Linked DNA regions of Drosophila melanogaster. The protein of the gene in region 1 interacts with the protein of each later gene in a biochemical or structural test. Each region holds a gene or a part of one and is shown in the gene's direction. Other genes may lie near its edges. The genes, in order: Sema2b and PlexB.

What was found.
Region 2: the proteins of Sema2b (region 1) and PlexB form a complex in vitro, tested with the Drosophila melanogaster proteins (one study listed by BioGRID).

What each region holds. Positions count from the first base shown.
Region 1 is NT_033778.4:16,384,241-16,388,171, forward strand, and holds the start of Sema2b (semaphorin 2b), read left to right. Parts: upstream 1-2,283; 5' UTR 2,284-2,510; intron 2,511-3,931.
Region 2 is NC_004353.4:42,093-46,023, reverse strand, and holds the start of PlexB (plexin B), read left to right. Parts: upstream 1-2,245; 5' UTR 2,246-2,599; coding exon 2,600-3,110; exon of another isoform or gene 3,111-3,250; intron 3,251-3,931.

The sequences.
Region 1 (3,931 bases):
CCTCCCACCGGAGGCCCCCTTCCCCTCTCCCCGTGGCCCCACTCAAATTGGAAGCCCAAATATGAAGTCGAAAAGTGTGTGTTGTATGTGTTTAAAAGGGTTTGGCTAGGGATGGATGATACTATTGAGGGGCGGCTCTATCGTTCCTCCGGCGCTTAGTTTTCAATGTGAAAATTGAGAAAAATTGCCAAACGAGTTGGTAAGCGATATTCTCGCCTGCTCCGCCTGCCGTTTGGTCCGATGCCAGGTGATGCAGTTGGGCCATTGTTAGCCCAAAACCCACCTTGGCCCAAACCGACTCCATCTTTGCCAGCCGTAGTTGTCTGCCTCTCCACTCACTTATTGTTAGTTTCGCTCGCTTTGTTTTGACAACTTCTGGAGGAATGCTCTGTGAACTGAACGCTTCGTCAAATAAAAACGAGAATTTTTGGCTTCAGTTTACTTCCGTTTGCTTTGACTGCCTGCTATGCCATCACTTGGCCACCCTGGCAATTGGAGACCCAAGAAGCTGCTGGCAGCCATAAAATTACGATCCAGCAGAGAGCAAATGACGCGAAACAGTCGCACGGACATGGCCAAGAGCCTCTGAGCCAAAAGGGGCTGGGGCAGCAACAACACGTTCCTTGCATAAAAATCGTGCAGGCCATGCTAAAAACGTTTATCCCTTTTAGCCCCAAGTTCGGCTCTGGAGGAGTCCTGCCAGCTCCCGCAGAACAATGGCGGCGAAACACTGAGAAAAATAAATACAAATCCTTATTCTTATTAGACCGTAAAGGAAAGTTGAATTACAAAATCAAAGTAAGTTATTGTAGGATATTTGTTGTTTCAAAAGAACTTGCTTACAAGGTATAGATATATTTTGTTATGTTTTGCAGTGCCTCGGATTTTTTCCTGTGCACTGAAAGAACAATTTCTTCGTCTTTAGTTTCAATGGCCCCCACGACGGACCGAAAACCATTTTAAATGGAACGTAAGCCGAGACTGATGGCCAGCAGTGGAATACGAGGAGTTGAAGCAGGAGTGGGAGTGGCGGGCAGATAAATGCCGCATCATTGGTTATTTATATGCGTGCGGATCTCAGGTGGATGGCCCTGGACTCAAACGATATATTTATTTGATTTTATTGATATACAAGCGGGCGTAAGTAGTGCATATCCATCTCGGCCAACGAGTGGCTTAAGTCCTGGCCTGGCCTGGCCTGTCCCTGTCATTACGACGGAACGATACGGAACGGAGACCAGTTTCAGGTGAATGTCGGCATGGGAAATTAATTAAATCGCATTCAAATGATTGGCTACGTGCCATTATTAATTCGAGCATAAATTATTCCACATGCCCTAATTCCAAATGATTTTACTATCCCCTTCGTCGCCGCCACCTCCGCACAATCTGTGGTCAATCACTTGATTGGCCGCTCAACGAATGGATCTGAAAGTTTAATGCAACACGTATTGGCACTTCCAATTTATGGCAATTAAGTGAAAGTTCTATAATCGCCAAAGAAGGTGTTGGAGAAAGGACTCTTGCAGCTGACCACATCAATTACTAACCTGGGCTAATTGAGATTGTGCGGCAGTTGTCATTTTTCCTTGTGGATTTGCAATTTGGATTTTGACTCGAAATTGTCCGTGTACATGAAATGCGTTTTAAGCACAACGTTCGTAATATATATATATTTCAAATAAAAACTGCTAAGAAAAAATTAAACTTTTAAATTCAATGTTTTAGTTCCAATTCCTAAAATTTGATTTAAATCAATACTTGAAGTATTAGGGTAGATAAAGAAGTTCTTAACACTTTACAAACATAGAAACAATAGTAAATTAAATAAAGTCTAAAACATCAGATAACATTATTTTGAAATAAATTAAAATTTAACATTATAAAATACACAAAAAGAGAACATAAAGAAAATTTGTATACGATTTTCATTAGATTTTTGTACATAAAGTACATAAAAATATATATTATTACAAATGAATTCATCTTGAAACCAAAAATTTTTCAGGGACAATGTTAACATTTTTTAGACTGTTCCCACAGTGCAAGTCTGTAGGCTCAACAGCAAAACAAACTGTTAAAAATGCCGGTAGGTGCTGAGAAGTGTTCCCAGTAACAGTTGACACGGCATTGCCAGCTCGAAACTCGTTTTCGACGAACTTCAGCGACTGCCAAACGAATGAGAGCGAAGCCGAATTCCCCCAAAAAGCCGAAGTTACGAAGATACGAGTGTGTGTGGTGCGAAAACTTCGGCGGCGGCGAAGCAACAACGACGGATTGTTCAGTTTGTCTTGAAATCGCGACTCGAACGGTCATCGTGTGCGGATGTTAAGCGGGAAAGTGGGAAATCGGAAAAGCGCAGTCAGAAACCGAAACCCAGCTAAAGAAAACTCGTGCAACTCGCTAGCAGTGCCCACGCAACAAACAAGAATAATAAATGCGAAATATATATGAAAAACACAGGTTTCAGTTTCAGTGACAAGTGTGCAACATAACTCAGCAGCAGTGAGGTGAATATACAAATCTCGATCCCCAAACGACTGTGCAACGCTCTCCAATCCCCGAATCCAATCAGAATCCCACCTGAGCTGAGCGCTACCTGCCAAGCGTGTTTCACTTTGCATTACCCGCGCTGACCAGTTGATCCCAACTTGTTTGCAACCCGTTCTCTTTCGTGCCTCTGACTGCAGAAAAGAGTGCGGATGGCGGAGTGCGGAGTGCAGCGTGAGGAAGACAAAGGAGTTATTTTTGGCCATCAGTTTGCCATTTGCATTTGTGCAGCCAGCCAAGTTGGCCCATTCAGCACATAAATTGCGAATGCAAACGGCCAAATTGTTATTGCCACTTAGAACAGCTCTAAGCGCAATTCTCTCGCCTTTTTTTTTCGTTCCGAGCAAAGTGTGCAATATCTTGGCCGTAACAGTAGCCACCTGGTCGCAACTTGCAGCAAGCGATTTGCGATTTGCGACTCGCGGCTAACAAAAAAAAAAGAAAAAATTGAGAAAAAACGCCACCAAGACACAAAAGCTGGTTGAAAAAAGTGCTGGCGATTGCATCGCATGTCGAGGTTGTTTCGCATGCCCTTGCCCCTCCGCCCCCTCCGTGACCCACCATGCCCCGTTTGCCACGCCTCTGCATACCCCCCTTCGGTTGCCCAAGAGCCATGCAACAATGCGAACAGAAAGAACTTCAAAAGCACTCCGACCCTCCGTCTGTTTTTTGGTGATTATGAGCGCAGAACTGCAGCATAGGGTCAAGAAAAAGTGCAGCCAAGTCGCCAGTTGGATGCTCTAACTTTTTAAAACCAAAATATCTGGAAATACTACAAAAAAATCGTTATGTTCAGCTTTTCAAAAGTATATTTCATTCTATTTGGTTGTCACTGTTGTTCTTTATGTTTTTATATATTTAATATATTTTAATATGATAGGTAAAGTTGTATTTATATACAGACAATTTACTAAGTATTCGGCACGGGGTCATTAAAAAACTTACAGACTTATTTTCATAATATTTTAGTGTCTCAATTAAACATTCAGCACTCTTTTTTTTATTTATTTTGTAATTGCATATAAAGTGGCGCTTTTTTAAAGAGTGTGATACGATCCAAATTTTTTTAATTCCTCGCTTAAAACAGGGGCATTAATTATTTCACAAAGGGATGAAAAACGCGATGGAATTTCTGCCGCAGTCAGTTAGGGTATTAAATGCAGGGGGCAAAAAAAGCGTTTCAGCTCGTTTCGCGGCGTACAATGGAACCTGAGAAGATTGGCCAGAGCCGAAAAAAGTGGCCAAAGAACCTGGCCAAAAAGAAGAAAGTGGCTCGTTGGCCAAAGAAGTGAGCGGGGCAGGCGGCAGGCTCAAAGCATTTAAGCGCCTTTGACACTCAGCTGGTGGCACAAAAGGGGGGCATGGTCTTCTGGATTAGGGG
Region 2 (3,931 bases), on another chromosome or scaffold:
AAGTTTATTTTGTAGTGTGCTCGATTTTTAATCCAAAACTGTGTTACATAATGAGACGTATTTTTAATTACAATGAAGAGGATCAAAAAATTAAAAGATTACCATTCCTTTTTCGGAGTAGACAATGTCACAAGAGCTCGTGCTTAGCATTTGTTGGGGTCAATTGCTTCCAATTTTTAAAACCAACGAATATTTAAATATTTTTTTGTAATCAGAAATTTATCAATAGATTCTACATGACCTTGCTTAATTATCACATAAAGGAAAATATTTGCGCGGTTTAAGAGCTGGAAGTTCCTAAGTTTACCATTAACCTTTTTATTGATATTATTTTGTTTCGCTTTTTAATACTGCATTCTTAGCTTCACGGCAGCAGCGTTGCCAATGTAGATTTTTTCCTACTAGAATAAAAAAATACAGAATAAGCAATCATTTGCGTCATTGTGAGTTGTGAGTGCAAACCAACAAAACTGGAAAGGTGGAAACTAATTTATAAAATCAAAAACGTTTTCCCGATGACAAGCGATTTGTTCTTAGCTGGGAATAACACTATTATAATAATAATATTATACTTATATAATTCCTAATAATTTGCTCCAAGCATACATTTTTTTTTTTGTAAAAAGAAAATTAAAATTAATAAAAAGTAAGTAAGTAAGAGCTGCGTATCATTGTGCCGTTTGATATTCCAAATTCCTAATAAATTATTCTCTTATTGAGTTGAAAAATATCCATGTTTGTCATTATATGTGTTGTAAAGATTATAGACAGTTTAAGTGTACACATTAACCTCTTTGGTCAATCTAATCTAACTTTTTGGTAAGAGATGGTTTATCTCTTTAGCATCTCTTATCGCAGCATTTTCTGCGGCAGGTCTGGTTATGTTTCGAGTGTTCACGTCGGCTGTTAACGGATTTTTGATACATTGTTGTTATGTGTAAACAGTTCTATTTATGTACTTGTACATGTTGCACAGCGCAAATATTGTCGATTAACCATGGTTTCCCGTGCTAAGTTTCGATGTGATGCCAACCAAGTATAAACTAAAGATCCTGTGTTATACCAAAACGAATTCGGCGTTGTCAAGATCGATGTTCCCGATTGCTCTTCAGTTCACAAAGAATTTTCACAGTAAATAATGTGATAGCAGCATAAGTTTCATTAACTATCGCTTTGAAATATAGTCGGTTAACCGAAGTACACCCTTGCAAAGTGACTACACAAATGGATTGATGAAGCATTTTTATAGGGGTCAATATCCAATGCTAAGTGTTGAAAAAAATCCACAAATAAAACTTCAATATCTGTAGTGGTTCCCTAATTTAACTTATATATTCGGAGAATAAATGAAATTGTATATACATATGTACGTATGACAGGATCAGAAATCTCTCTGAGAATATATAAAAATCGAATCTTCAATTCAGTCAAAATTTAAAACCCACCGATATAATCTATTTAGTGATACTTATTTAACTAAGTGTTAATAATTTACAGGTCTTAATGACGGTTGGTCTTAATTTACAGTTGTAGAGAAATTCAATAAATTATTAATAAGACAATTGATTAGCAAAATAGCCATTCGTTGGACAAATTTTCCAAAAATTGTTGAATAATAATAATCAAATTTTTTAAATTTATATAATTTTAATAGTAAAAAAGGTACATAAGTAAAATTAGTATAAGTATATACATAAATAGTCCCAAACACTACGTGGCGTTGAAGCCTCCATGCCATGAGAAACCCTTAATGAAATAATTTAACATTAAACATGTTATGATTTTAAAATAATTTTATAAAATTTTAGCCATCGTGCCACATAAATCAATGTTGTTCAAAACTTTGTGTAGAGATAGGTGGGTCTGTAACACTCGAATCAAAAACAATATTAAGATAAAAATAGCGCGCACGGCAAGTGTTGCATGGAAGAAGATGAGATCAATTTAGATTCTTTGGAGATTGCTCTTTTTAACGCGACTACCATTTCATTGATATTATTTTACAAAAATGTTCCTGGAACATTTTAGACTCCATCGGTGGTGTCTTCTTTCTTTTTTCTTTTAACATTAGCCAATTGATTGGATGTGGAATCAGAACTGAAAACATTTAAACGATATCTACATAAATACTTCCGAGGTTTTTAATGGTAAGCTTCCCTTTAATGTGCTCCTTGTGAATACAGCATTACAATGCCCTCTAGCTCGATAGTTCAATTTGTATGCGATAGGCTGATACAGCCGATACTAATAATCTGCTCTAGGACTGATAGTGTACACACAACGTTTGAGCGTTGCCTAAGAAGTTTTTTTTAAATAAATATTTGTTTACATTGACTAATCGATTTTTTGTGTTAAACAACCTTATAAAAAATGCGCTAAACCTAAAATAGCCAAATGGATCATTTTAATTTAAAAATATTTATGCACCTACAGTGAATCAGCGGCATATAAAATTAATTCGCATTAAATTCAATCGATATTAAAAAGTTTATATATTAAGGAGAGAGAATGTAGAGCTAAATAATAATAAAAATGACATATGGGGAATTGATGCCCAAACTCAACTACAAACTGATCATACACAAAACCACAAATAAATATGTTGCGAAAGGAATTGTATTGTGCAAACATTATACATGTTTTACATGTACTGTGTATTATTATCATACTCGGTTCTCAGCATTATTGCGTTAACTGCATTGAAGAACTGCCGGCTCAGGCGTTATCTCCCTTAAATGACATAGTCGCCCAGTTTAACTTGCCATCAATACCAGTTCAATCAACAGCTTCCAGCTATGGCAATCGATCAATTGGAAACAATATAGAAAGTGTTAGAGACTCTCAATCTAAAAATTATTTTACTCACATGAGCTTCGACTTTATGCACAATGTTTTGTTTGCGGGTGCTACAAATAAAATACTTAAACTTAACGAAAACCTTCGAGTGCTGGCCGAGGCTGTTACTGGGCCGTTACATGATTCCCCGCAATGTCACGCTGGAGGCTGTCCGGAAGATATTGAGACATCGCTTGTCAATAACTTCAACAAAATTCTAGTAGTAAGCTACGCTCACGATGGTATTCTCATAGCGTGTGGAAGCATTCGACAAGGTAAAATAGCAAACACATATCAAAATAAAAATAAAATACTTAAGTCGGCGACTTCGTATGGGACCGAAACTCCTGACATATCGTATTGGTTTATAGAAGTTATTGGTCATTTTTTGTAGTCATCGTAGAACAATGTCGCAGTGTTTTTGAGCTCCACATAAAAAAGCGGCGAATATAAGTAATTATTCAAAAGTGCGGAAGGAATATGATGATAAACAAAACAGGATTTTAAAATGTTATAAATTAAAAAATCTATAGTTGAACTCTTGAAACAATTTGGGTAGTATTAACGTTAAAGTATTAAAATAAAACAAGATAATATGCTATAGTCAAGATCTCCGATACTCAGCTAGTGTGAATGCGAACTCGAAATCGAAATTTCATCATTTTTCTGGGATATCGATAGATATTGGGGAATAAAAGAAGAAACAATTTGAAAAATGTTCAATAGTGTGGGCGTGACCGGTTTGGCGGCTTTAGGGAGTTAGAGTAGGCGTGGCAAAAAGTTTAAGCAACTAATAAAATTAAAAAAAATATTCTAAAATGTTTGCAAAAATATGGGCGGGCAGTTTTGGGCATAATATTACTTCAATCATGCGATGCGAATCGTCTTTAAAATACTTTTCAACGAATCAGTTAACAATTTTTACTGTTCCTGAAATCAATTCTGATCGAATAAACGAATTTACATATTTGGTAAGTTTTGGCCAATTTCGTAGCAATATGATGAAATTGCGCTCTTTTTTAGGAATATCAAATTGGAATATAACAAAAAAAAAACTGAAACTAAACAACTGAATCTAATGTGCATTTTAAATAAT